Stegostoma tigrinum: one gene and its partners. Each later gene encodes a partner of the first gene's protein in a complex. Links are inferred from orthologs where the notes say so. Each region holds a gene or a part of one and is shown in the gene's direction. Other genes may lie near its edges.

Region 1 (7,889 bases):
GTGTTCCTGGCAGATGCTCAGAGACAGGTCTCTGAACTGACGGTTCAGAGAAGTGAAAGTGCCATCTGGCGGGAAGTCAGGTATTGGTGGTTGAGTCGATGCATGTAAATCTGTCGTTCTTTGAACAAAAAGTTTTTTTTAAATTAAAAATGAACTATACTGTTAATGTAAGAGATGTGAATGTGATCTCGATCTTGTAAATACCTGTCACAGATTAAAGATTTTAAATGTGTAAATACAGGTGTATAAACATTCAGATCAGTCTGCAATGCAGAGAAATTATTAATCTGTAATCTCAGTACCTGGAATAAATACTGTGCTGTTTCTGGACATTTAGTTGTGTCTGTGTTTATTTCAGTTGGAACAGTGTTGATTAGATAATGAGTAATTAGAGTAAGAGGAATCTTCTATAATTTTAAATCAATCTCATCATCTTTAGTGTCTCTCACCTAATGTTTTCCATTTACCTGTTGGCTGTTTTATTTCATAGGAATAGGAGTCCATTCAGCCATTTGGCTCGACCCACCATTCAATATGATCATGGCTGATCGAACATTTCAATGCCTTTCACCCACCTAATCCCCATAACTCTGCACTCCATTGATAATCAGAAATCTATCAATCTCCACCTTAAACGTACTCAAAGACTGAGCTTTCGCAGCCCTCTGTGGTAGAGAATTCCAACATTCACCATTCCAGTGAGTTTAAAAAAAAAAAATCCTCCTCTTGGTTAATGAAGACTATATTACCTTGGCTACATATGGAGCAAAGAGATTGTTAAACTTGTGTAAGCACTGGTTTGGCCTCACCTAGGTTACTGCATCCAGTTCTGGACACCACACATTTGGAGGTATGGGATGGTATCAGAGAGAGTACAGAAAAGATTTGTGCGAATGGTCCAAAGGATCATGAACTTAAGTTCAATAGAGGGGAGAGGTTGACCCTGTTTTCCTTGAAGAAGGGAAGGCCGAGGAATGATTTGATGAAAGTTTCATCTAAAAGAAAAACATGAATCCAGACAACCATAAATATGGAAAACTATTCCCACTTGGGAAAGGATTAAGATTGATGTCCTGTACACTCAAGCAGGATAAGTCCAATCCCACCCAATCAATCTTCTTGCGATCATCAGTAAAGTGATGGAAGGTGTCATTTTACAGTGCTACCAAGCAGCACCTACTCAGCAATAACACTTTGGGTGATGCCCGGTTTGGGTTTTGCCAGGGCCATTTAGCTCCTGAAATTGTTACAGTCTTGGTTCAAACATGGACAAAAGAGCTGAGTTTCAGAGGGGACGTTGAGTGACAGCCCATGACACCAAGGCTGCAACTGATCAAGTGTGACGTCAAGAACCTCTAGCAAGACAAGTCAATGGGAATCTAGGGGAAAATTCCACTTGTTGGAGCCATAGCTAGAAGAAGGATTATTGTCTTTGTTCGAAGTCAGTCATCTCAGCTCCAGGATACCTTTGCAGGAGTTCCTCAGGGTAGTGTCCTATAGCCAGCCATCTTCAGGTGCTTTATCAATGTTCTCCCCTTCATCAGAAGGTCAGAAATGAGATGTTCACTGATAATTGCACAATATTCAGCACCATTCATGACAGATACTGAAGCAGTCCATTTTCAAATGCAACAAGACCTGTACATTATCCCAGGCTTGTTCTGATATGTGGCAAGTAATGTTTACTCCATACAGATTCTAGGCAATGATCATCTCCAATAAGAGACAATCCAAGCATAGCCCCTTGACATTCAGTTGCATTACCATCACAAACTCGAACTATCAACATTCGCGGAGTTACCATTGATCAGAAACTGAACTGGACTAGCCATGTATATACAGTAGTTAAAGGGAGCAGTTCAGATGTTGGGCATCTTGCTGAGAGTAACTCATCCCGAGACACGTTAAAGCCTGTCCACCATCTGCATGACGCAAGTCAGGAGAGTGATGAAAGATCTCCCCACTTGCCTGGATGAATGCAGCTCCAACCACACTCTAGTTGGACAAAGCAGCATGCTTGCTTGGTACCACATTCACAAGCATCCAGTCCTTCTACCATCAATGTTCAGTAGCAGCAGTGTGTACTATATACCAAGATGCACTGCAGAAATTCACCAGCGATCCTTAGATAGCACCTCCCAAGCTAGCAACCACTACCACCTAGAAGGACAAAGGCAGTAGCTACATGGGGACATCAGCACCTGTAAGTTCCCTTCAAGCTACTCACTCCATCCTGACTTCAAGTTTTATCGGAAGTCCTTTTATGTTGCTGGGTCTACTTCCTGGAATTCTCTGTCTAACAGCATATTGGATCTAATTACAGCACATGGATTGCAGTGCTTCGAGAAGTCAGCTCACCAGCACCTTTGAGGGCAGCTTGGGCTGGGCAATAAATGCTGGCTCAGCTATTGACACCCACATCCCATATGTGAACAAAAAAAAAATTGAGGGGGCACAAATTTCTGAAGTAATTGGCAAAAGTAACAATGGCAATATGAGGGGGGAAAAATACATTTTACAGCGAGCTGTTAGGATCTGGAATGTGCTGTCTGCAGAATATGGTGGAGGCAGGTTCTAAAATTAGATCACTACCTGAAAAGGAATAATGCACAGGGTTACAAGTAAAATGCAGAGGATTGGCATTAGATGATCAGAGAACCAGTATGGACACGATGAACTGAATAGACTTCTCTAGCCATTCTGCTTTCTATGAATGGAGTGTCCTACTGACACAGCTCCACTAGTCATCAAGTTCACTCAGATCTATCTGCATGGGTGAAAACAGAGTGGTTGCAAGTGAGCCATGGCACTAGTGTCCTATGTGCCCAATGCATACCATCCATGTTGGCACACAGGGGTTACCCCTCCCTTTCCGTGAGGGCACCTCGTCCCTCAGGGCACGATCACTCCCTATGTCACAGGCCACCTGAGACACAGCAGGAGTGAGAACAGTGTTCTGGCCTATATATACACCTGACTTCAATTTCATTGGCAACTGCCAACATATTACTCCGTCCTTGATGAAAAGCACAGGTCTAAGTGTGCTGAGAGAGTGAAATTTTCTGCTTACTCAATGCCAACGTGAGGGGGCAAAGTTACTATGGAACTGCTGCTTCCTGCCAAATTCAAATATACCCCCACAAACTAAGATGTGGGAAGAGTCACATACTCAGCAGTATGTTGCTTGTATGACTATGTCAAAACAACTCTGCCACAGGCAGTGAGACTGAAGAGTTGGTTAACGTACTTTTTTATAACACAGAAGAAAGTAATTACATTCCTCCAGCAAAAACCTGGATCAGCATTTGTCCTGTGTGAGGCATTCAGTTCGAGGATTGCAACATTTTGAATTGTTGGAAAAATGCTTCAATGCTTCCTGGTCACAAAAAAAATGTATGAGTACAATCTGGCCAATCACACTGGTCTCAATCATCAGCAATGTGCTGAAAGTGTTAACAACAGTACCGCATGTAGCATTTGATCAGTTTGGTGTCTGTCAGAACCACTCAGCTCCTGACATCACAATAAGCATAGTCCAAACATGAGCAAAAGGACTTATGGAATGCCTACAGTGCAGAAAGACACCAGTTGACCCATCAAATCTGTACCAACCATCCTAACAGCATCCCACACAGACGCAGCAACCCCTCCCCTCTCACACCCCCAATCCCTGTAACTGCATTTCCTTTGGCTAACCAGCTAACCTGTATATCCCTGGGCATTACAGGGCAACTTTTGACTTAGCTAATCCACCTAACCTGCACATCTTTGGACCGTGGGAGGAAACCAGCAGAAACCCACATAAACACAGGGACAATGTGCAAACTCCACACAGACAGTCACCTAGGCTGGAAATGAATCAAAGCCCTGGCACTGTGGGGCAACAATGCTAATCACTGTGCCTCCCTCCAGAGATGACAGTATCCGCCTTTGATAATCAAGGAAACATTTTGCTTTATATGGTTTGAAACAGCACAAGAAATCAGGAGGAAAGCTCTCCACTGTCTGGAGTCATACCTGGCACAAAGGAAGATGACTGTAGTTGTTGGAAGTCAAGCATCTCAGCTTCAGGACATCACTATATAGTTCCTCAGGATAGTTTTGTAGGCCCAAACATCTCCATCTGCCTCAGCAATGACCTCACATCCATTATCATGTCAGAAATGGGAATGTTTGTTTGCTAATGATTGCACTATGTCCAGCATCATTGGCAACTTCTCAGACACTGAAGCAGTCACATGTTCATTTGCAACAAGACCTGGACAATATTCAGGCTCGGGCTGATAAGTATTAAGTAACATTTGCTCCACAGAAGTGACAATTAATTATCAGAGTATCAAACTACTTCTCCCTGACTTTCAGTGACACTGGCATCACCATCTTGGGAATCTGCATTGCTGAGTTCACTGGGAAAGTTATATCAACATAGTAGTAACAAGGGCAATAAAAAAAATCAGGTGTCTGTGGAAAGTTGGTCCTGACTCCTCAAATTCTCTCCATCATTCTGCAAAATTCATTCTGTAAAACTGTAGTCCAAACATGCATTTAATCTCCCCAGACTAGAGAACCCATTTTCCTGCCTCCTATCATTTTACTGCACAGACCAGCCCTTATCAAACCCTCTATGATTTCACATTTATCAAGTGGGCCGGAAACATTAACTGTTTTCACAGAAGCTGCCTGGTCTGCTGCATATTGCCAGCATTTTCTTCTGATCGGTCTCACTCCGCTCCCTGGCCCCACCCTTCCAGCAACCCCGCCCACTTTTAACAACGCCCCCACAGCGGTAAACCACGCCCCTTTCCGGGTCGGCCCTCCGTGATTGGTTGTTTGGATCCGGGCTGTGATTGGACGATGCGTTACCGGATGCGGATTGGTTGCTGTTGACCTTTGGCCCGCGGTTAGTGGCTTGGCGGTTGAACGATGAAGGTCGGGGATGTGCGTTTCATTGGCGATGAGGAGGTGGCGGAGCACATCATCGAGAAACTGTCCGGTGAGCCCCGGGAGAGATACGGGGAAGCAGGCGTTAGAGAAGGAGGGAAGACTGGGGGATCTTTCCAAAAATTTGTACCCTCCCCCCCCATCATTTTCCCCTCCCCCCCGCCTTCCCCCTAAGTCCTTCCCCAGAATCTCATCCCACACCCCCTGCCTTCCCCCCCCAAATCCTACCCCAGAATCTCATCCCACACCCCCTGCCTTCCCCCCCCAAATCCTTCCCCAGAATCTCATCCCACACCCCCTGCCTTCCCCCCCCAAATCCTTCCCCAGAATCTCATCCCACACCCCCTGCCTTCCCCCCCAAATCCTTCCCCAGAATCTCACCCACACCCCCTGCCTTCCCCCCCCAAATCCTACCCCAGAATCTCATCCCACACCCCCTGCCTTCCCCCCCCAAATCCTACCCCAGAATCTCATCCCACACCCCCTGCCTTCCCCCCCCCCAAATCCTACCCCAGAATCTCATCCCACACCCCCAAATCCTACCCCAGAATCTCATCCCACACCCCCTGCCTTCCCCCCCAAATCCTACCCCAGAATCTCATCCCACACCCCCTGCCTTCCCCCCCCAAATCCTACCCCAGAATCTCATCCCACACCCCCTGCCTTCCCCCCCCCAAATCCTACCCCAGAATCTCATCCCACACCCCCAAATCCTACCCCAGAATCTCATCCCACACCCCCTGCCTTCCCCCCCAAATCCTACCCCAGAATCTCATCCCACACCCCCTGCCTTCCCCCCCAAATCCTACCCCAGAATCTCATCCCACACCCCCTGCCTTCCCCCCCAAATCCTACCCCAGAATCTCATCCCACACCCCCTGCCTTCCCCCCCAAATCCTACCCCAGAATCTCATCCCACATCCCCTGCCTTCCCCCCCAAATCCTACCCCAGAATCTCATCCCACACCCCCTGCCTTCCCCCCCAAATCCTACCCCAGAATCTCATCCCACACCCCCTGCCTTCCCCCCCAAATCCTACCCCAGAATCTCATCCCACACCCCCTGCCTTCCCCCCCAAATCCTACCCCAGAATCTCATCCCACACCCCCTGCCTTCCCCCCCAAATCCTACCGCAGAATCTCAACCCACACCCCTGCTTTCCCTCCAAATCTTACCCCAGAATCTCAACCCACACCCCTGCCTTTTCTCCAAATCCTACCCCAAAATGTCAACCCACACCCCTGCAAAGATTCCTCCCCCAACTCCCCTCTGTATTAAATCCTTTCCCACTCTCCAATACCTTGTTAAGGTATGCCTAAGCCTGGATCTCTCTCAAGTGATACCATGTTCTATACACATTTATATCTTCTGCATCAAAAAAAAAGATGCTGGAAAAGCTCAGCAGGTCTGGCAGCATCTGTGGAGGAGAAACCAAAGTTAACGTTTCGGGTCCAGTGACCCGAGTTCTGAGGAAGGGTTACCCGACCCGAAGCATTCACTCTGTTTTCTCCTCCACCAGTGCTGCCAGACCTGCTGAGCTTTTCCAGCAACCTCTGTTTTTGTTCCTGATTTACAGCACCTGCAGTTCCTTCGGTTTTTATACTCTTCTGCATATTGTTCTTCCCTGATCCTTTCAACCACCTGAGGACTGACTGAAACATTTTGTTGGAAAATGATTTCTGGCATCCTACTGTTTTAATGGGTTTCACGATGACTTACTTTACAGGAATTAATCAGAAGAACAATGTGCCTGGGACATTGCTAAGCGTGAAGCGGGCTTCCCAGAAATGGGAGAAGACAGAGCAGTCTCAGGAGAGTTTGGAAGTCTTTAATGAGCGTGATTACGTGGAGGTGCTTGGAGCAGGTGACTCAGGTACTGGCTATACTGCAGGCCGTACTCTATCTTGCTAAGAGAGTGTAGCCAATGGTGTCTCTGTGATTACTCAAGGTATGCCTAACCCTGGATCTCTCTCAGGTGATACTACATTCTCCTATACACATTTATATCTTCTGCATCAAAAAAAAAGATGCTGATACTCAAGGTTGTGAAACAAGACCAGGTCCAGAACCTATTACTGGAGTGTCAGGCCCCAGGTATTCACTTGTGGAGTAAGGAAGCTCCACAATTTGATATAAACGTCGGGAGCCTCGAGCTGAAATTGCACAGTTGTGCTGCTGCTGCGGTTGTGAAGATGGTGCAATTGCTTTAGCAACTCGAACTGTCCTTGTAGTTGCAGGTTGCCATGGTGACTTGAATGATGGGGTGTCTGCAGCTGGCCGAGATCTTTTCACCTTTCAAACCGCCAAAAGAGCAGACAAGATGGCAAAGCTCGGTGAGTTTTGGGGACCGCGTCTTGTTAGGGATGGGTAACTGTGCAGCGTTTGGAGACGAAGTGAGAAATGTGGTTCGTAGGTAGCGACGTGGGCCTCAGAAACAGGAGGCGGCGATGCACTTATGTAGCTGTAGAGACCCGATGCAGGTGCAGTGACTGCGGTTCATGATTTTGGGTGGGTGTGGGGTGCTGTTCATAGGTACAGGGAGAGCTGTGAAGTGAGAATCACCAGAGCAGCAGCTGACTAACTGAACTGTGAATCTATTGCCAAAAGATCAACAGTGTCATTTTGTTGACCTCAAACTGTCTATGTGTCAAAGGGACATTCCCATCTTTTGACGTTGAGAGTTATCGGAGAACATTTTCAAATCAGCATGGGCTTTGATACAGAGCTAAGCTCACTCTACACAGCCTCATCAAGCACACAATTCTGGGGTTGTGCGTGCGTGTGTCCTGGGAGAGGATGGCTGGGCTGAGGGCGTTGTTGGGGGCTGCTGGGGACAGGAACGACTACTCTCCCTGGAGGTTGCATGGCAGATGAGACCATTGATATTTAAAATGTTTACTTTATCCTGTTTTGACTCTCAGCCTCCGAACTGGCCCAGACTCCGAGAA
Region 2 (7,997 bases), on another chromosome or scaffold:
GAGTACAATAGTATCCAAGTGGGAAATGGCGACCTCATTCAGAATGGGTAGATGCATGAACCTCAAAAAGGTTACGAGTCACACATATACTGACAAACCCAAAAGACCTAACCTTGGATCAGGAGAAGTTAATATGCAGATGGCATTGAGGGGGAGCACAACAGATTGTTACGTAACAAACAGAAAATAGATCTAGAAGAGAAAGCTCTGAAACAGAATGTATATTTTCAGATGTGTCTTTCTGTAAGCAACTTCTTATTTATCAGTTCATTGCTTAACTGATGAAGTCTGAGACAGGGATGAATAATCAATCACGGGAAATTTAACCACCCTTCAATAAAATGGCATAAAATGTCAGTTAGAAATGCAGATTCCCTTACAGGCTTAAACAGGCAAGGGACTGACGACAACAGGTGATCCACTTTGGATTTTGGACCAGGAGTCTCAGATTCAAGTTCTACCTACTCCAGAAATATGCAATACATCTCTGAACAGGATGATTAAAATATCTTTTCAAAACGAAAAAGGCTGAGTTCGTAGGCTCATGTGATACAGCAGTGGTGTTTGAGCCAGGAAGCCTGGGTTCAACTCACAGCTGCTCTAGAGATGTGTGATAACATCTCAACAGGCTGCTCTGAAAAACAGCTGCATTCTTGCTACGTATGATTTGGTTGTGGGCTATACAAAAGCAATAAGTTAGTTCTCCTATTTTTGCTGTACTAAACTTTGTGGCATTGCTTCTAAATTATTAATTGTTTAATTAGTGACACAGCTGGTTTGGTGGTGGTTTAAACAAAAAAGCTTCATACAGAGGGTGGTGCGTGTATGGAATGAGCTGCCACAGGAAGTGGTGAAGGTGGGTACAATTACAACATTTAAAAGGCATTTGGATGGGTATATGAATAAGAAGGGTTTAAGGAGATATAGGCCAAATGCTGGCAAACAGGATTAGATCAGTTTAGGACATTTGGTCAGCGTTAACAAGTTGGACCGAAGGGTCTGTGTCAATATTGCATAAGTCTGACTCAATGAAGGGTTCTTGCAGCATAGTGTAGTGTCCTACCTCTGGGCCAGGACATCCAGGTTCAAACCCCATTTGCTCTAGAGGTGAGTATAACAACTCTGAAGAGATTGATTAGAAGATATAAAAAATACTGGTTCTACACCAACATCTTCATGATTTGAGACAGGTCAGCACTGCAGAGGCTGGACTGAATTATTTTCTGCTCCTTCTCTTCCTACATTCCCTATTTTCGTAGTTGCTGCACTTCTTATTGTGGGAGGATCTTGTTAACTGTTATTGTTTAGTTGTTTCAACTAGTTATTGGTGGAGAGTTATCAAAAAGTGCTCGGTTCTAAGAGTGCATGTTGTGCAATGGTAGTGTCCCTACCTTTGATCTAGGAGGCCTGGGTTTACATCCCACCTGCTGCAGACATATTCAGTAACATATCTGCACAGAATGGTTTGACAAAAAAGAAAAAGCCCAGTTCTGACCCAGGAAGTCTTAGGTTCAATTTTCACCAGTTCCAGTGGTACACAACACCATCTCTGGACAGGCTGAAGCAAAGCAGCAGGGGTCTGAGCTAATCAATTATTACTAAAAAAAAGGCCAACTTCTCAATGGGGCCTAGCATAGTGAGTGTTTGCATACAGCACACCAAAGCAATCATAAACCATAAACCTACGGACCCCCAAATCTGTTGTTCATTCACTGCTTTGGATTCTGTGGGCCATGTATAAGTTGGGTGTGGGCAACTGCACCCAGTTGAATTACCTTAGAAATCTTTTGCTGCTCTTTTGATTGCACATCAGTCCCACGCTCTTGATCTTTGGGCACCCAGTCTCCAGGAGTGTGGGCACAGCAGGGGACTTCCTACAGGGCGCGGCCAAGGTGGTTATCAACAGATCCAGGTTAGTTGGTTTTAATTCTGCCTGCCTGCCCCAGTGGTGAACTTTGGGTCTGGATGTCCTCAGTGAGAGGGCGCAACACACTTAATGCCTTCAGAGCGGCAGACACTAGGTTCTGGGGTTTTTGAAGTGGGGGGGAGCAGCTGGAATGCATTATATCCCCTTCTAACTGCACGTTAGTCCCCTCCCCTATTTTTGTTGTTGTTACATTACCCCTGTAGGCAGTGTTGTTCAAGTGCTGTTTAGTTGATAGCTTGGGTGATTTGGTAGGGGGTTTTTTTTTAGGAAAAAAGGGGAACCTTCTCATTTCCAAACAAGTTGATAAGAAAATATTTAAAGTAGTCAGGTTGATTTGAAGGTGGATTTCAAAAAAAAAATCAGCCGAGATCTTTAGGGCTCTTTTGGTGATAGGGATAGTGTCCTTCCCTTTGAGCTGGAAGGCCCAGATTCAATTCCCAACCACTCCAGAAGCATGTCACAACCCTGAGCAGGTTGATTATAAAAGACAGTAGAGTTCTGAAACAGGTGAGTTGGTGGGAGGTATGAAAAAAAAAGCTGAGTTCTAAAAGGCTTTCGTGGTGAAGTGGTAGTAACCATACCTCTGATATAGATGTGTCATAACATGTCTAAACAGATTGATTAAAGAATATCTAAGAATGAAGTTCTTTAGGCTTTTAGAAAAAGACAGCTACTGCTTAGGCTGGAATTCATTATCTCTTCCACCAACAATATTTCAATTTAGTTCCTACCCTCAATTCCCCATCTTTTCGTTTTGTTGGTGCAACAGTTTGACAGTGTTTGTTATTTGTTAGTTACTTAGTTGATTGGACATTGGATATTTCAAAAATGAAAGCTGAATTCTCGAAGCATTGAGAGAGAAACGTACACTGCAAGGCTTTCAGTGCATTATTTCTTCCTCTGATATTATTTTTATTTAATCCCCTCCCTTGTTATTATGGAGAGTATTTAAAAAAATAGGTTGATAGGTATTAAACTTTCAAAAGCCAAGTTCTTTCCCAGTTGGATGTTTGCTTCAGAAGGAAAAGGGGGAAACAGGAGTTTGTTCTACACTACAGATCTACAATAAAACATTTTTGTAAAGTCTGGAAGTCTTTTGTTGCATATGTACACATATTGGAGTTCTTAAGAATGTGTGCAGTTTCTTACAGAGACTGCAAGATCCATATTTTCTTTCACACACTGGGATCAGCTGGTGCCAGCAAATCTAAAATGCTAGCTAACTCAGCAGTTAGTATTTGAGGGACCAAATGCAACCAGTTCTTTTACATTCTGGTTGACAGTGCTGGCATTTTATACATTTACTTTGATGCTTGTTGCATTTTTTTAAAATAACTGCCAATCCTCAAAACAGGATTGTGGTTTAATGGTCACAAATATCTTAGGCAAATACTGTCAGTCATAATAACATAGAGCTACAGGAAGAACGTCAAGCCCTATTTCTAAGTTTAAAAATGCACATTCAGCATTTAATGTGGACACTGATGTGGGTGAAAATGCCAGCACATGGGATTTACAAAGAAGCATTATGATCAGAATCAACTTGCAAGATTAGGATTTCAAGACTAGGGGACAATTTTTTAAGGTGACAGGAGAAAGATTTAAAAGACAAAAGTAGAGGTGTAGTGGACAGAGAAGAACATCACCTCACAGTACAACAGGATCTTGATCAGATGGGCCAATGGACCTAAAAGTGGCAGATGCAGTTTAACTTAGATAAATGAGAGGCGCTGCATTCGCAAAGGCAAATCAGGGCGGACTTATACACTTATTGGCAAGGTTCTGGGGAGTGTTGCTGAACAAAGAGACATTGCAGTGCAGGTTCACAGTTCCTCGAAAGTGGAGTCACAGGTAAACTCAGTGGTGAAGGTGGGGTTTGGTATGCTTGCCTTTATTGGGCACAGCATGGAGTACAGGAGTTCGGAGATCACGCTGCTGCTGTACAGGGCATTGGTTAGGCCACTTTTAGAATACTGTATGCAATTCTGGTCTCCCTACTATAGGGAGGATGTTGTGAAAAAGTTCAGGAAAAATTTACAAGGATGTTGCCAGAGTTGCAGGGTTTGAGCTATAGGGAGAGGCTAAATAGGCTGGGGCCATTTTCCCTGAGGCATTGAAGACACAGGGGTGACAATATAGAGATTTATAAAATCATGAGGGGCATGTATAGAGTGAATAGACAAAGTCTTTTTCCTGGGGCATGAGAGTCTAAAACTAGAGGGCATAGGTTTAAGGGGAGTGGGGAAAAATTTAAAAGGGACCTAAGGGGCAACGTTTTCCATGCAGAGGGTGGTGCGTGTAAGGAATAAGCTGCCAGAGGAAGTAGTGGAGGCTGGTACTACATTTAGAAGGCATTTTGGTGGGTATAGAGTGGTTTGTGTGCATAAGAGGTAGATGCAGGTACAGTTAGTCAGAATGTTTAAAAGCCATTTAGATAAGTTCATGGATAAGAAATGTTTGGAAGGATATGGACCACGAACAAACAAACAGGTGGGACAAGTTTAGTTTGAAATTACGGCAATGGTTAGCATGGACTGGTTATACCAAAGGGTCTGTTTCCATGCTGTATGTCTTTATGACTCTAATGCATGAACTGTCAAATCTATCCATCAAAACACAGTCAGCATACTATGGGGCAGGGGGGGTGGTGGTGGTGGTCAGGGGACGAACAATGGATTGATGAAATCAAATGTGCTAGTTGATGGAGCATTCTACTTTGTGATATGTCATATAACAGAAATTTTACTATGATATAAAAAGCCAAACAAGGAAGGAAGCACTGATGAATTTAACGATGGGAAATATTAATTATAATGGTTAAGTGCTAAGTATAGGGGAGTGTCTAGGAAGTAACAAAAATATAATAAAAAAGTTTCAAGGTAAATATTGAACAGGATCATAAATAAGATAAAAGGACTGTAATATGATCTTCTGTGTATAGCAGTCAAGTAGTAGGTGTAACATTTCAAGAATGAGTGGCCAATTAACCGCATGTCAACAGTATAAGAGAGATTATACTCTACTCAAAGATAATCTGGAAAAATACCAAGAATCTGAAAGTCATAAACACAGTCTCTATGGATTCCAAAGGGAAGATCATGCCTGAACCAGCCTTATTAAAAATTCTGAACAGCAAAGGCAGGTAAGAGTAAATATTTAACTTAATTTGCATTTTAATGGCCTCATTAATCTGTTGCACTACTTTGAGCGATTTTCAAGTTTGCATCCCTCGATCGAGGTTTAACTGCACCATTTAAACTGTATCTTCCCAGGGAGTATGTTGCCTCCTTAGTTTTCACTACAAAAACATTCTAACACACCCCCACCTACATTGTAGTTTGTGCGCCAATTACATACCTATTCTGCAAGTTTTATTTATTAATGTCTTCTTGTATTGTCACCATCCTCCAGTATTAACTATATCCAACAATTTAGTGTCACATTCAATTTGGTACCACTAATTGTGTTCATGTTTGTGAACCTGTGAGAGATACTAGCAACACACTTTGTGGAAGACCGCTTCCCACATTTTTGACAATCTGAATAAGTAGTTTTAACTCACATCTCATGATGGGTGTTTTGTGATAAGCTTGCTTTCATACTGCCTCTTTTCCCTTAACTCCACTTGTCTCGAGTTATAAGTCTACCACACAAGCTAAGCAATATCTTCACATCGTCTACTGCTGACTCCAAAACACACAGTGAATGGAGTTTAGTAGTGACAATCATTGATTATGAGACACATACATTAACATTTAAGTAGAATTCTTTTTATTTTCTTTCAGGGGATGTGTGTGTCACTGGGAAGACCAACATTTGCTGTCCGTCCCTAATTATCATTGAGACATTAGTGGTGATAACCAAGTGGCTCACTAAATCGTGTTAGGTGGGTAGCTAAGAGTTATCCACATTGTTGTAGTTTTGGAATCAGATGTAGGTCAACCCAGCTGAAGGTGGCAGATTTCCTTCCCTAAAAGACAGTAGTGTACCACAAGGGTTTTCATAACAAATCAGTAATAGTCTCACAGTCACTGTTACTTAGATGAATTGCAACTCTGAAAATGAAAAGCTTTTAGCACTTTTGTAATGCTGTATCATTTTCATTACCATTTAGATAGATCATACTGATTTTGCCCTGCACAACTGAAGCATATAATAAATAATCTACAGATTTATGACATTGTTGAATAGCTTGCAGTTATCATGTTGATGCTAAGACAGTGTTACGTTCTCGAGACAAGTGTGGATGCTTTGTGTTGTGACTTTTTGATATTGCAAATTCTGATATTTCAGTTAATTATTCAATTTAATTACTTAAGTTAAATAACGATGCATGTCAAGAGTTAAAGAGATGATAGTGAATGAAAGTCTAAGTATGTCCCTCATGTTAAATAGTGCAAGGTTTTGAGAATCATAATAGCACGATTAATTTGGAGGTTGACTTTAAATTGTGTCTCATGTCTTGTTCAAATTTGAGATCAGAATAATAGAAATCTGAGTGTATTATAAGGCCAAGCTGTAACAATGAATTCAGAAACCCTAAACTACAATGTAGAGAATCCAAGCTGTATAGAAATGGCACCAGAATTCTACAAAAGGGCTGAACCAGCAACTTGCTGTGAAATAAAATGGCGGTGTGAAAACCAGCAACTGTTACCACTTTTAGTAGTCAAACTTAACTTAATTATATATTTACATGTGAATGAGGACAGGAAAAGAACTACTTCTGAGAATCATTTAAACTACTCCTAATTTGTGCACACATTGGTGATCAAACCACAAATCTGAGCTAAATAAAAAAAAAAGACTGTGGGTGCTGGATTGAGTTTCGGTTTCTAGAAGAGGCCAGTCTTGTAGGAGCCTAGAGAGATGTTTGCAAGAAACAACAACAGAAAACCACAGTACAGTCTGATCCTGTTCTCTCTGGATATCCATATAAATGGGCTTCCTAGCAAGGGTCAAAGGACTGATTAACTCTCTTTAGCACAGAGAAAATGGGGTTAATTTTGATTGCTGTCTTGCTATTATTAGGTGAACTGGCACAAACTGTGGATTGATACGGGAACATTGTGTAGTACAAAAAAACAGGCTGGTACATCCTGCCAAGGCATCAGGCAGCATATTCACACTTTTATTCAATAAACCATTACTGGGATAGTTTATAACAAAAGGTAACAATTTATTTGGAAAACAATCCAGTTCAGTACCCTCTTCACATGCACTATATATCCCAATCAGACAGGCGCTACCCATCCCCAGTGTTGCAAAGGATGGGTCTTGCCTTGTTGCCACAGAACACCCCACATAGTTGGGCCATTCCATACCACCTGTCCTTAACAGAGACCACAAGTCCTTCAGGACTTGGTCAGCACGTAGTGTCCTAGAGATCCTGCAGGGAAATGATAGGGTAGATCCTGTCAGGTTGTTCTTGACCAGACTGTCAAAGTCACTAGGCAGAATGCCTCAACGCCAGAACTTTCTAACAAGCACCAAGACATCACTTGGCTGGTGGTGAGAAGGGCACTACTTGTGAAATCCTTCACGTATGCCCAAAAAAGATGCAGTGATTTTTGTCGAGGTTCATCCTGAGCAGCTCCATGATGCAGGATTTTGTGCTATAGGTTGCACACCAAGACAAACATTGACAGCTGTGCCTGTAGGATCATAAACTCGGTGAAAGACACTCTTTGGCCTGCCCAAAACTTGTTGGTCTTCCAGAGCAAGGAGTTGCCTTTGACTGAGTGTTGCTGACTGGCACATTTTAAGGTCCAGGACTACGCGCTGAAGGACACAATAAAGCCTGGGGCAGCTGCTGCCAAGACACAGTCAAGAAAGGCCATCGTCTAAAATCTTTCTGCAGAGGTTAAATTGAGGTCCATTCAGTTATCGGATCCTCCCAATGCCTCACATACATATAAATATCATCCTGTACAAGTACAAAATGCCTGTGGTTTGTTTGTTGGATAGAGTCAAACTCCAGTGTTTGTTTCTTCATACGCTACTATACAGAACCAAACTGCTTCAGTGACTATGTATGCATATAAAGGTATTTTTAAGAATAAATTATATT
Region 3 (6,845 bases), on another chromosome or scaffold:
ACAATAAATGTTTTATAAATTAACATTTTACTTTGTTAAAAACACAAAGTTGTGCTACAGATTAACTAAATTAAAAGCAGTCAAAAACTGAAACAGCTCTACAGAAAAGATTGTACGAATTCTTAGATCACAGACCACTCTGAGTGTATGTCTGAAGTGTGGTCATGACAAGAAGGTTGTAAAATCAGTTAAGCAGCACCAACCTGATATTGGTAACCCTCAGGTTTATGCCAATAGGCAGAGTGAAACAGCAAGGAATTTTTTAAAAACGTGCCGATACGTTTTCAATTAACGGAAGTCTAGGTGTTTTAAACACCTTTAAAATCACAAAAGCTCCATTTCACAGTTCCTCTTTTTTTTTGACAAACGCATTTGCCATTTCCTTTTGATAGCTGTGTTGACAATTATAATAGACTCAATGTGAATGAGCTGCGCACCTTTTGTGTACATTCATGTCTACTTTTAACAAGTCGAACACACACACTTTACCTCTCCCAAAGGGCAATTTGACTCTACCAAAAGGTCTCCTTGCACTATACCTAAAGGGATACCCTACCTTTCCAAAAAGATATTCTCAATATAAAAACAAATCCACAAACTTTAGACCTCTAAACCAGGAGAATCCAAGATAACAAAGTGTATAGCTGGATGAACACAGCAGGCCAAGCAGCATCTTAGACGCACAAAAGCTGACGTTTCAGGCCTAGACCCTTCATCAGAGAGCCATAAAAGCTGACGTTTCGGGCCTAGACCCTTCATCAGAGAGGCAAGTGGCTTTTCACAAACCTGAGTCACTGCAGAGAATAGAGAATCTGAGATAACAACGTGCAGAGCTGGATGAACACAACAGGCCAAGCAGCATCAGAGAAGCAGGAAAGCTGATGCTACCTCAGAATAGAGAATGTTGTTTTTGGGCTGCAGTGGGTGGGGTTAATTGTCTGAGTTTTGGGCTCCTTTGCCACTTTCACAATGATGAAGAGATTCTCTTTCATTTCAAAGATCCAGGTCCATGTTGAAAGATATTTAATTGGCTTTAATGCGCTTTGGAATATCTTGAGGTCATGAAAGCTCTAAAGAAAGTACAAGTCTATAATTTTTGTATTGTATGGTTGCTAATTACTGATTAACTCGAAATTGACAACAATAGTAAGTGTGCAATTTAACACAATGTTTTACTCATAATAGTGGGTGCTGATAGCCAGATGTAAGTCCCTCAGCCCACAGAACAATTTACAGTAATTAAAACACAGTTTATTTCTGATATCAACAACATATCTCAAGAACAAGAAACTCTTTAATCTTTACTATTACACTGAAACACACCCACAGCTGATTCAATTCAGGATAATATAAAGTTGAATTAAGTTTGTTGATGCTAATTGATGTTGCTGAGAAAAGAAATGGATACGGCTGAGCCAAAATCTAACAAACAGAAATGATGCAACTGACTGGAGCTGTAGCTCTAACATTTTAAACGAAGGACCCTTTGCTACTAGCTCTCAAAGTTCAACACCTCTCCCTTTCGATTAAGATCAATGCCACAATCCTGTAAAATATGAACCATTTTATATAACTTGGGTGCCTCCTCTTGATGAAGGCAGACAGATTATGACATCTATTATCACCTACAATGTCCCAGCTCAGCCTATGGTGTATTGAAAAAAGTATCTGAGAAGCAGAGATCTCAAATATGAAACTAAGATCATGGTTTGCTGAGCACCAGTGAATACCACACTTTCATGCTTTGGAGCATATAAAACATGTAGGAAGCAACTGAGAACATCGTTCAAGTACCATCAGTGGAGCTTTCGCAAGGTCCTCCAAATCCAGTGACAATTCAATAGCAATGTCCTGTCTGAAATCATTATATCCAATATCAGAGATAATGGGAACTGCAGATGCTGGAGAATTCCAAGATAATAAACTGTGAGGCTGGATGAACACAGCAGGCCAAGCAGCATCTCAGGAGCACAAAAGCTGACGTTTCGGGCCTAGACCCTTCATCAGAGAGGGGGATGGGGAGAGGGAACTGGAATAAATAGGGAGAGAGGGGGAGGCGGACCGAAGATGGAGAGTAAAGAAGATAGGTGGAGAGAGTGTAGGTGGGGAGGTAGGGAGGGGATAGGTCGGTCCAGGGAAGACGGACAGGTCAAGGAGGTGGGATGAGGTTAGTAGGTAGCTGGGGGTGCAGCTTGGGGTGGGAGGAAGGGATGGGTGAGAGGAAGAACCGGATAGGGAGGCAGAGACAGGTTGGACTGGTTATGGGATGCAGTGGGTGGGGGGGGGAAGAGCTGGGCTGGTTGTGTGGTGCAGTGGGGGTAGGGGACGAACTGGGCTGGTTTAGGGATGCAGTAGGGGAAGGGGAGATTTTGAAACTGGTGAAGTCCACATTGATACCATATGGCTGCAGGGTTCCCAGGCGGAATATGAGTTGCTGTTCCTGCAACCTTCGGGTGGCATCATTGTGGCACTGCAGGAGGCCCATGATGGACATGTAATCTAGAGAATGGGAGGGGGAGTGGAAATGGTTTGCGACTGGGAGGTGCAGTTGTTTGTTGCGAACTGAGCGGAGGTGTTCTGCAAAGCGGTCCCCAAGCCTCCGCTTGGTTTCCCCAATGTAGAGGAAGCCGCACCGGGTACAGTGGATGCAGTATACCACATTGGCAGATGTGCAGGTGAACCTCTGCTTAATGTGGAATGTCATCTTGGGGCCTGTATCCAATATCAAGGTGTTAATCACCCAAAATTCTGACTGAGTGCAGGGACAGAACATTTTGTTCATAAGCCAAACAATATTCACTTAAAGCTACTGCTCTACTTGGTAATTAGTGGTAGCAGGAGCAACCAACCCCACCACCCCCTGCAGGAGGACAATGAAAATACTTTAGGGCAAACCTTGAATGATTCCGAAGAGGCAAAGTGTCCAAGCAGACTCATAGAAATCCTTGGCTTGACTGACCAAAATAGAGATGGCTCAATTGGGAAAATACCAAACCCATTAAGGGGAATGAATAAAGGTAGTCGAGGAGCCAGAGATGTGAGTGCACAAATCTCCCAACAGCTCATCTCTCTACCCTTCGAAGCACACCTACCCCATTTGTCACCGAGTCTGAAAAATGGACTTGTCAGCTACCTCAGGACCCATTGAACACAAAGTGAAAGCAAATCATCCACAATTCTAAGGCACTGCTTATGAAAGAGACAAAAATTCAATCAAAGGGAGAATGACATTGAAGACTAACTTATCACTCAGTAACCATGGTAAACATCATGAACAAAAAAAAACGCGAACACTACTCAGATATATTTAAAACCAATCAACTTTGACATTGCTGAAGATTGCCTTGTTTCTTCAAGCAAAACTTCCAAGACTAACTATACTACAAATAAGGCTGTGCTATTTTGCAGTCTATGAGTCCTGCCTTTTCATTCCTTTTTCTGCGCCCACGTTCTTCCTCAAAACCTATTAGATTTCTGGAATAAAACAAAGAACTGCAGATGCTGGAAATCTGAAACGAAAAACGTAAAATGCCAGAGAAACTCAGCAGGTCTGAAATTGTAACTTTTTTTCTCCACTCATCCGGCCAGACCTACTGAGTTTCTTCTGAACTCTTTCTATTACATTACTAACCTTTTTGCACAATTCTGAATTAAAGATAACTGAAACGAAACGCTGGCTCTGATTCCCTTCTCCACAGATGTTACTCGATCTGCTGAGAACTTCCAGTATTTTGTTTTCGTTTCTTAAATGAATTTGGGTTCCTCCGCCCACAAACTACAAGTCCCAGTGTGCTGCGTGTTCTGACACCTGCGCAGTAGGATCGCGGGTGGTGGGGTGAAAGTTCATGGAAGGAGGTTTTGGCGCGTGAGAGTCCGATTAACCCGGGAAGGAGACGGTATTGGGGTCGCGTGGTAATTTTGACTAATGGTTACGGTTGGTGAGTGCCGGGCTAGTGTGGGGAAATGACCCCGTGCTTTCCGCGGATCGAACAAAAGATTGCCAGGTGATTTCAAACCCGTTGGAGTATGAAGCTGATTTTAATCTGTGACGTGTTTTTCTTTTAAAAAATAATAACAATTCACATTAAGAAGATTTGGTCCAAGTGAGGAAAATAACAAGTAAGACCAAGTTAGCGGCCGCTGTAGGTGGTTGGCTTTTTTCTTAAACGATCCGTTAACTGTTAAATTGTTTAAAGCCTATGATGCATTCCCCAAAACGTTTTGGCGTCTTAAATGGAATCAGAAAGGTGGATTCACACGAGAGTTTTGAGTTTTTACACAAAATGTTTTTAGATTGAACAACTTCCCTCCCCATATGTTTTAGTTGCAAACGTTTTTATCTTTATACAGGCAAATTTTAAAAATAAACACTCCTATAGCTTTCGTGCTGACAATTCAAAACAGCAAGGGGAATTGGTGTTCTGCCGAGAATGCTCACTTTTGTATTTCACTCTGGAGGAATCCCAATTTGTTTCTTCTATCTTAATTGCCTGGTTTTTACATTTTTTTTGCTTTTTAAAAAAATTTTGTGTATTTCTGCTATGCTCCACCCTCTTACAAACTTTCCCTCTGATTATATTTCCCACCATAACTACTCATTCCAGCCCTTGACACTTTTCACTTGCTGAAAACTTGATGCACTTTTTCTTTTGTCCTACTCTGATCGGAAACATCTGAGATGTTTACTTGGTTTTGCTCAGCACATGTTTTGTCAGGCCTGTTGTATTTCCAGCATTTCCTGTTATTTCAAATTTCTGCCATCTGCAATTTTTTTTCTTTGTTTGAGAGACAGTAAATAATTTTCTGATGCATGCAGCTCATTTTTACTTATGATGTAATGTGAACTATGTTGCAACTTAAGTCTTAATGGAAATTTTGGAAATTACTGCTGACTACAAATATTTAAGTAAATGTTTGAGCATTTGGATGCAGAAACATGACCGATTAAATCACAAATCAGAATTGCCTACGATTGCTTCGGTTTCAGGTTTGTTGTATTATTAATTTGAAATTCTCATTCTTGTTTCGAAATTCCTTAATGTCATTGCTTTACTTCCATGCTCTTCTGACTCTGACTTCTGTGCACCGTCTTCTCTCTTTGCCCAACCGTTGGTGAATTGCCTTCAGTCCTCAGCTGTAGAGATTTCTACTTCTAACTGCATCTAACTTCTAACTTTGAACTTTTTGAGATGCGTACTAAATCTTCCACCTCATCTTTCAAGTGCACCTCATGATGTTTTTGTTTTGCTGAATCTGATTCTATGAGGGTATGCTTTAGCATATTTTCTGATGCTTAAAAGTATTATATAATTGCTCATTGTAGTTACGAAAGTGAGGAAGAATGAGGCTGCAGATCGAAAAAAGTCTACAAATTAAATAATGCCACATAAGACTTGATTCATTGAATACCGCATATGTTTTTATTTATACTTCCTTATCAATCTGTTTGGAGTTGTCATTACACATCTCTGGAGCAGATGGGACTTGACGCTAGGCCTCCTGGCTCAGAGGTAGCGCTGCACCACAAGAGCCTTTTTAGGCATCTTGTATACATTTGCAGGATGCAGACACTAATCTCCTGACAGGATAGCCCAAGAACGGGATCCGTGTTATGCCTGTCCTCTTGTCCTTGAGGTAGCCATTACTGTACTGTGTCTTTATGACTGAAATTTGCAGTCCGTTATTTTGTTTGCAACCTGATTTGCTATTATTCAAAAATGGAAGCCTTTTATTATGAAGGTTTAGGTGTCCTATTTGTTCCAAATGTGATAGATCTGTTTCTATCAACATTACACCATAGAAATTATTTTGAAAATGAATAGTGTAGGTAAACAAAGTATCACATTCTTCAAAGCATCAATAATTGCGTAAGTTGATACCTATACGAAATAGTGAGAATAATCTTTCAATATGTTTAATTTATATTTTATAATCTAAGGGAGAACTTTGTTCCTACAGTTTGTAAAGATGTCTAAACTTAATCATGGTGAATATCCAGAAGACAGAATCCTCTTACTGAAAGAGAAATTGATTTGTCGGGATCCTCAGATTTTAACTCTGCAATCAATACTGGGAGAGGTAATTTTGTATTTTAAATGAATTGGCTGAATTTTGATGCCATATTGTTAGGCCAAAATTCTGAGGTGGACCTTTGCTGTTCATGCCTTTGAGGGATTTACATGCATGCTTAATTTGTGCCCAGGAACGACCATTGTAAGGAATAAAATGGATAACAGTAAAGAATGTAAATTGATTCAGTAATATTTATTTTATATTGTATTAATGTAAACATTCAATTTTGTTCAATATTAATGAAATGATAAAGCAACTACAACACTTAATATTGAATTCCTTCAAAATCACGAACCTCCATCTGAATTACCAAATGATTTGTCCGAACATCCTGATTGGATAACAGCATGTGGACCTTCATCATCGTCTTCATTATTGTTAGCATCATTGTTATTGGATTCCTGTGATAGATGGTGTAATTTTTTTCACACTTGTTCTTGCATCTCGTGCATCATTTGACATTGGCCTTCAATTCTGAAATCTCATTGTTCTTTGCATCTGCTGTCAGTGCAGAGTTGGTTGGTGCTGCAGTCGATAATACAGCAATTTTACCAATGCTTGTTAACTCATTCTGCCAAGTTTTTCTTTAGTTTAAATTAGGCTTTATACTTGTTATTCTGTGTCAAAGTTATCATGATAGATTATGTTGTACATTAGTCTTATTGGATGGGAGATAATTGGTAGAAAAAATCTGAAGTTTCCAGGGTGCTTTGAATAAATACAGTTCATTAATTTACTATGCAATACTAATAATCACAGCCTATCTTTCAGAT
Region 4 (6,866 bases), about 64 Mb from region 1:
GACATGGAAACCAAAAGGGGACAACAGAGACGGAACAATTTTTTTCCTCATTACAGAACCTCCCCATCAAGCAAGCATAATTATGCCATTTTATCTCTGCCATTGCCTTCTTCCAAGTATCCAGATGCTTCATCTACACAATTTCTTTTGAAACTTTTCAATTTAGTGTCTGCTGGAAATAATGTGGCTCCTTCTATGTTGGAATAATTATAGATTGGGTGACTTCCTTGTGGAACACCACTGTTCTGCCCATATATGAGTGCCAATGTTTACGGCTGTTTTCATTTCTCCACTTGATCCCCACGATGACCTCTCAATGCTCAACGTACAACCCCTTATCTTTTGATTAGGTACTTCATAGCTACCAGACTCCACAGACCTTCTTCAATTTCACATTGCTTTCATTTTTTAGGACAAAAACAAAAATTGTTGATGATTCTGCTATCCCCATTTTCACCACCTTTAGAACATGTTTTATTTTTTACTCTTGCCCTTGCACCATCATCCTTTTTGTCTTCACTTCCCATTTTCTCTCCCACTGAGCTTCCTTAAATTTTTTTTACGCATTTAACTTTTTCAGTTCTGACAAAAGGTCAATCTGAAACCTCAACTACTTCTCTTAAGTCTGTATGTCCTTTCTGTCTTTCCCCAAAATAAAGACTGTGCCGAGCATAAAATCGGAGTGTTGAGAAATGTTGATCGAAGTCTCTAGATATATTGCTGTGGCAATATAATTACAACAAAACCAAACTGAGCAATGAACATTAGCTGACTTGAGTAAGGCAAAGTTACATTAGTAAATAAACAACATGATCTAATATAGGTTGGTGTACACATAAGAACATATGAAATAGGAATGGGTAATGTCGCGCTTCAAACTTGGCCTGTCATCCATCAAGATCTCGTTCAACTCTGCCATCCCACACTATCCACTCAATCTTGAATTTCCTTTGTAACCCAGGAATCCATCGACACTTGTCTTAAACATACCGAATGACAGAGGATCTGCATCTCTCTCTTTCTCTCTCTCTCTCTCTCTCTGCAATTCCTAAAGGCTGAGTGAAGAAACTGCTGCTCACCTTAATCCAAAGTGCCCAACCCCTTGTTCTATAGCTGTCATCCCATATTTTAAATGCCCCAGCTGAAGAGAATCATTTCTTAGCGTGCATTCCATTAAAGATTGTACCATCAATTATTAAGTGTCTTCATTTTGACAGAAGATAGCATATATTAATCATAACACATATAGGAGAACATGTGTTAAATGAACATCAGGTCATTCAGAAGAGTTAAAACAGGAATAACATACTTTGAAGAATATATATGCAGATGCTTATACTACTTTTCCAAGGCATGTTATTTAAGTTTTATGCAAGTTTTAAAAGCTTCACAAATTTCCAACCTTCCATTTAAAATTTCCTGATTATGAAAAGTGAAAACGCAACATATGCTTAATAAACTTGGAAAAATAATAAACATTGCTACATGTATCAATAATTCTGTTAAATTTATTTACCATGACTAACACTGATCAAAACTAACTGAACCACTTGACATACGTAGAAGTAAAAATGATGTAAAAATAAGTCATTTTGGAATATTAAACTTGACAATATATTGTTATATCAAGAATGTTTACCACTCATTTGAGCTAAAATAAAATGAAAAGCAGAATAAGAAACCAAATTAAAGTACTCAGAAGTACTCTCAGCTAAAACCACCTATATCTATTTTTCAGATCTGTAGAGTTGGCAAATTTTAAAGAACAAAAATAAATTAATGATTTTAGTTTTCAATCATCAAGTCTCCTAACTAAGGAATGGCAGGAACAGTCTTCAAATCAAGCTGTTGAAAAATACAGACAAAACTCTAAGGTTTCTGTGTGCCCAATGCTCACTTCAGACATACTTCCCATTTACTCAACACCAATGAAGATCGGTACAGAAGGACAAAACGAAGGCCTAGGGACTCTTAAGTACATGCAAAGGCTAAAAAGTTGCAACTCATCACAAATGCTCATCTGAGCAAGGACCAACTTACATATCGAGCTATTTCACAGTTATTTGCAGTCGAATGGGCAGAAACGTCAGAGCACAATAATAAGTCCAATCTTTTGAAAGCCATAAGTTGGCTGGTCAAATTAACAGCGTGTTGAAATAATGCAGACCCGATTAGTTTAAGTAACAGATTACCAAATTTAAAACACAAGGTCCATCTGATTTCAAATTTCCCTCACTATATCTGGTTGGAGCCATCTAAACCCCAAAGAGATCGTACCTGTCAAACACATCCATTACATCTATTATTTCCTTCCAGGAGTAGAAAAATCAGCCTACTGGCACTCATGTAGAGCAAAAACCAGGAGAATAAGAGATGGAAAACTTAAAGAAATGTGGAAAAGTTTAATAATTTTAAATTTTAATTTAGACCTACAGAAGATATTAATAGTACTCACAAACACAAAACATATTTCAGCAACTTGCAAAAAAAGTATTGTGAATTTCTCATTTCAAAACAAGCAAAACTGCAGAACATTAACATGAAACTTTAAACTATTAAACTATTATTTGCTGCTATACACAACATACAAATTCGAAATACATCTCTCACATGCATCTAAAAATGATTTAAAAGTTTCTTTGTTTTAAAAAAGGCAGCACTTTTTCAAGGAAAAGCAGATTCACATTGAGGGATCATTTCAACAATTACATTGAAAAATTAAAATATTTATCCACACAATGAGTTACTGCATCCTTTAACTCTAGCTATCAGTGCACTGTTAAAACACTAATTTCACGTATTTTTGTCATAAAAATATAACAGTGGCGTGCAAGACGACCAAACTACTGAAATCCTTCAACTCTAAACGTTTCTTTAGGGCTAAAACGCTACATATTGTACTCCACATCCTATTGGGCCTATAAATATGCAAAATATGAAAAATCACAAACATGACGGTATCTTAACTACCAGTCGATGAGAACTCGTGTACCATATTGATGACCCTACTCCAAACACTCTCCAGAGGTTCCAAATACGAACACATTATTGCATCAGGATGGAACAACCCTTCTTATTACTGCGGGGTTGATACCCACAAGAGCTGAAGTTGGACTGTTGTAAACAGCAGTCACGCATGGCCGTGGCCTGCAACGTAGCATCATCATCATCAGCAGCAAAGAGGGGGCGGATAAATAGAAGGCTTTAAACCAGATTAAACCCCATTTTCAAGAGCCAGCAACGTCCCTCTCCTGCAATATACATATCAAAAAATTATACCCTAAACTCCCAACTTCAATAAGATTTCATTCTCAACACAGCGATATATTTATATAATACTCCAAAATCTGCACTTCATTTTAATAAAATACGGATTTTTAAATAAAAAAGGCCAGATTTGCTTTGCAACCACTTACCTTTAACTCTCTCCTCTCCAAAGCTTTCGCTTCAGAAAAACTCAAAAACAAAGGGTAATAAAGGGCTGAAATGGCACTTAAAAGGCTGCTGGCCAGGCCCGGGAGGTCGGCTGGTTGTTAAGGGAGGTATCCAGGAAGTTTTTCAGACGCTCGGGATGTATCCGGTTGGGAATGTAGACTCATAATAACAAAAAGGAGAATCGGCCGCTTTATTTCTGGAGACTTTATGGAGGCTTTACTCGGAAACACAGAAGGTGGGAGAGAGATAAAGCCACGGAGAGAGAAACAGAGGGAGCGGGGCAAGAGAGAACGAGAGGAAAAAAAACCTGCAGCTGAAAATACCCGGCGCACTGCGCATGTCCCAAGACACAATTACCCAGAATGCTCCGGGGAAGGGGAGATAGGGCGGACCCTGTCGTGTGACGTGTAGGTGGGAGGTCATCAAAGGTCAGAGAGCGGAGGGCGGTGGGTGGGACTATATAAAAGGAGTCGTGGTTACCTGAGTAATCGTTGGAGCCACTGGGCCTCGCTCAGGTATTTGTGGTCTGGCTGATGCACTTTAAATATGGTGCTTTTATTATTTTGTGTACAAAGTTATTTATGTTTTATATATCACGCTAGGTTCAGAACTCTTGGTCCTTATTTTTGACTCACCTGTTGTTTTCTAGCTTTTCCATCACCTGTCGCCTGTTATGTGTTCTTCGCACTTTTATTTATTTAGAATTTTTTTCTTTTAAAACGTATTTGATCTTATTCAGGGTTTTTTAAAAGCTTGGGAGGCAGCAGTTTGTTCTATCACAAGGGTTTACGCATTTGTTCTGTGTTCCGACGTCCCCTCATCGAACGGCTAGAAATTTTCAATTTTTGTTGTTCGTGTTCTGGTCTTGGGTTTTTAAATTTTTTTTTAGGGGAGACGGTAAAGTAGTGGTGGAGAGGCTGATGAAGGAGCCGCACTTGAAATCTGGACAATATAATCCTCCCCTTTCTTTATGGGAGCTTTCTGATGCCTCCATCATTTTCTGTTGATTGTGCCTGTGTCACAATAAACGCTGTATTTGTTCCACGACGTAGAGTTTGTATTTGTATTTGGTGTAACGTGTTCATGGTTTCGTTTTCTGATCGCATGATTTGTCACTATCGACTCTTGATGCTTGTTAGCGGACCAAATGCCTTCTTTCATGTTGCAGGTTTCATCGGCGGATTTTCGTCAGCGAGCTTACCTCATTGGGCACTTTTGGAGGAAGGTATCGCTGGGTTTTTTTCGCTGAATTCTGAAGACTCATTACTGAGGGTAGTTAGTGACACGGACGGTTCTGCTTGTCGAATTTCAACGGTAAATGTATCATTGTAATTGCTGAAATGACTAGAAGGATTTGCCTGCCTTTAAATCAAATGTCGTGAACCACTTTATATGCAATTTTAAAATGTGTGTTCTTTCGTAATTTGATGGTCGAATATAAATCCGATCCTCGAGTTAACTTTACGTAAAACAAATTACGTCGTGAATGATACGGTATAAAGCGATTTTATTTTGAAATCGTTTCCTAGTTCAAGGTAAAATTGTTTAGTGGAGATATTGTAATCTGTTCAGTTCAGTAACCGAAATGGGAGTCGTCCAAATCGAGGTTAGACAAGAGCAACGTAGAAAATTTTTTTGCCTGATACAAAGATCTGCTGGGGTTGATTCTGGGCAGACATTCTGTCTCAGATTTCAGAAAGAAGTGTTTCATGCACACTTGAACGGTTGCCGCCGAATGTAATTAAGAGAAGAATGTGTCTTTCTATTGACGACCAAGCAGAATGCCGGAAGGAAAGCAGCCTCTGATCAATGGTGCACATCCTGTAGCAATGTAGGGAATCTAGAGGATTCAGCCTGGTGCAGTCAGCGAAAGAATTGCTGGACAGGGTCATGCTGCTGGTTTTCTGTTCTGGATTTCTTTATAAACTGAGAGAAGCATCATCTGATGGTTACTTGATGTTACACATTGGTGAAATAGAGAGAAGAGGACTGGATGGAAGCTCAGTATTATGTTGAACTAGTTGCTGTCAAAATTAATTTTGCAGAAATTAGATGATGATTAAAACTGTGACCTTGGAGTTTTATTATCTGAGGAATTCAAGATGGAAGAAAATTCTGCAATTCAATCTTGGGTTCCTCTATTATTTAGTCAGTGTTGCTTTTAGTTTTTGTTACAGTTGCCGCAAAGTTCGTTTCATGGTTGTCTGTGAACAATATTTTGTGTGAAATTGCCTTGTGATTTTTTTTTTTTCTTAATTTGAATATATTCTGCTCTTTGTGAATTTTAACGTGAGGGTTATTATGGCATAATTTATTATTGTCGCATGTGCTGAAATAGTGAAAACTACTGTTGAGACAAATCATATCTGACATCAGGGTAATAGCAACAGAGAAGGAACCACTTCAATGTATGAGAGATTCATTCAAAACTCTGATAAGTAGTGTAGAAGCAGTTCTTGAATCCGTTGCTATGTGTTTTCAAACTTATGAATATTCTGCCCAATGAAAGAGGGTGGAAGAGAGTCTAACTAGGGTAGGACAGAATTTTGATTATATTGTTTGCTTTCCCAGGGCAGGGAGAAGTACAGATGGAGACAGTGAAAGGAAGGCTAATTTGTGTGATGGACTGTTATATTCACAACTCATTTAATTTCTTGCAGTCTTGGGCAGAGCAGTTGCCATATCAAACCGTGATGCAAACAGATAGGATAATTTCTATGCTGCACCTATAAAAATTGGTAATTCATGTGGACATTCCAAATTTCCTCCGAGTTTGGAGGATACAGAAAAGTTGGTGTGCTTTCTTGACTGTAGCATTAATGTGGATAGACCAGGATAGATAAATGGTGACATTTATTCCTAGGAACTTGAAGCTTTCGACCATTCTCCTCTCAGCACAATTGATATTGACAGGGGCATGTCCTGCACTCGACTTCCTGAAGTTGATGTCCAACTTCTTCATGTTGCTGACATTTGAAAGAGATTGTTGCCTTTTATACCATGCCACTAAGCTCTCTGTCGTCTTCAAGTATTTTGCCTCATCATTGTTGGAGATCCAACCCATTACAGTGGTGTTATGAGCAAACATCTAAGTGGAGTTAGAGCAAAATTTGGCCACAGTAGCGAGTGTTTAAGGAGTATAGTAAGGAGGTGAGTATGCAGCCTTGTGGGGCACTAGTGTTGAGGATTGTTGTGGAGGAGGTGTTGTCGCCTGTCCTTACAGTTTGCAGACTGTGGATCAGGATCCCGTTACAGAAGGGGAAAGCCGAGTGCTAGGTCTCTGGTTTGGAGCTGAGGTTGGCTAGAATTAGTGTTGAAGGTAGAGCTCAAGCCAGTAAATGGGAGTCGGACATAGGTGTCCTTGTTATTCAGATGTTCTGGGGTTGAGTGTAAGGCATCTGCCATAGACCAATGGTGACAATGGGAGAATT

What was found.
Region 2: the proteins of orc2 (region 1) and lrwd1 are in contact, whole or in part, in a crystal structure (PDB 8SIU), measured with the Rattus norvegicus proteins. The link is inferred for Stegostoma tigrinum from reciprocal best matches to the Homo sapiens genes ORC2 and LRWD1. Residues at the interface, in NP_001012003.1 of Rattus norvegicus: Val11, Pro12, Ser13, Val14, Gln15, Phe16, Val17, Gly18, Asp19, Val22, Leu23, Ser24, His25, Ile26, Leu27, Asp28; in XP_038945348.1 of Rattus norvegicus: Pro262, Leu263, His264, Phe265, Leu266, Gln267, Cys268, Ser270, Asn273, Ser274, Pro275, Leu320, Val321, Leu322, His323, Lys324, Tyr325, Lys326, Leu367, Val369, Gly372, Phe373, Cys374, Pro596, Pro598, Val599, Ala600, Val605, Ile630.
Region 3: the proteins of orc2 (region 1) and orc5 are in contact, whole or in part, in a cryo-EM structure (PDB 7JPO), measured with the Homo sapiens proteins. The link is inferred for Stegostoma tigrinum from reciprocal best matches to the Homo sapiens genes ORC2 and ORC5. Residues at the interface, in NP_006181.1 of Homo sapiens: Val240, Glu241, Tyr243, Phe244, Glu245, Ser248, Asp396, Gln398, Arg401, Gly402, Glu403, His426, Asn428, Ala429, Pro430, Leu431, Met432, Trp433, Asp434, His435, Gln438, Trp445; in NP_002544.1 of Homo sapiens: Asp324, Lys325, Phe328, Leu329, Leu359, Asp360, Arg361, Ala364, Tyr367, Ser368, Ala378, Asn379, Phe381, Ser382, Gln383, Thr385, Ser386, Thr389, Asp400, Gln401, Leu402, Asp403, Tyr407.
Region 4: the proteins of orc2 (region 1) and orc4 are in contact, whole or in part, in a cryo-EM structure (PDB 7JPP), measured with the Homo sapiens proteins. The link is inferred for Stegostoma tigrinum from reciprocal best matches to the Homo sapiens genes ORC2 and ORC4. Residues at the interface, in NP_006181.1 of Homo sapiens: Asp501, Asp504, Tyr508, Ser512, Gln518, Glu522, Val554; in NP_001177808.1 of Homo sapiens: Lys168, Asn169, Arg195, Glu200, Leu201, Lys204, Arg205.

Annotation. Positions count from the first base shown.
Region 1 is NC_081360.1:19,756,133-19,764,021, forward strand, and holds the start of orc2 (origin recognition complex subunit 2), read left to right. Parts: upstream 1-4,882; 5' UTR 4,883-4,923; coding exon 4,924-4,993; intron 4,994-6,639; coding exon of another isoform or gene 6,640-6,667; coding exon 6,668-6,814; intron 6,815-7,172; coding exon 7,173-7,274; intron 7,275-7,862; coding exon 7,863-7,889. UniProt on the Homo sapiens protein: Component of the origin recognition complex (ORC) that binds origins of replication. DNA-binding is ATP-dependent. The specific DNA sequences that define origins of replication have not been identified yet.
Region 2 is NC_081380.1:9,118,176-9,126,172, reverse strand, and holds the start of lrwd1 (leucine-rich repeat and WD repeat-containing protein 1), read left to right. Parts: upstream 1-4,979; 5' UTR 4,980-5,069; intron 5,070-7,997. UniProt on the Homo sapiens protein: Required for G1/S transition. Recruits and stabilizes the origin recognition complex (ORC) onto chromatin during G1 to establish pre-replication complex (preRC) and to heterochromatic sites in post-replicated cells.
Region 3 is NC_081378.1:23,172,467-23,179,311, forward strand, and holds the start of orc5 (origin recognition complex subunit 5), read left to right. Parts: upstream 1-3,834; 5' UTR 3,835-3,938; exon of another isoform or gene 3,939-4,119; intron 4,120-5,958; 5' UTR 5,959-5,967; coding exon 5,968-6,078; intron 6,079-6,845. UniProt on the Homo sapiens protein: Component of the origin recognition complex (ORC) that binds origins of replication. DNA-binding is ATP-dependent. The specific DNA sequences that define origins of replication have not been identified yet.
Region 4 is NC_081360.1:83,672,376-83,679,241, reverse strand, and holds the start of orc4 (origin recognition complex subunit 4), read left to right. Parts: upstream 1-3,858; 5' UTR 3,859-3,950; intron 3,951-4,603; 5' UTR 4,604-4,749; intron 4,750-6,866. UniProt on the Homo sapiens protein: Component of the origin recognition complex (ORC) that binds origins of replication. DNA-binding is ATP-dependent. The specific DNA sequences that define origins of replication have not been identified yet.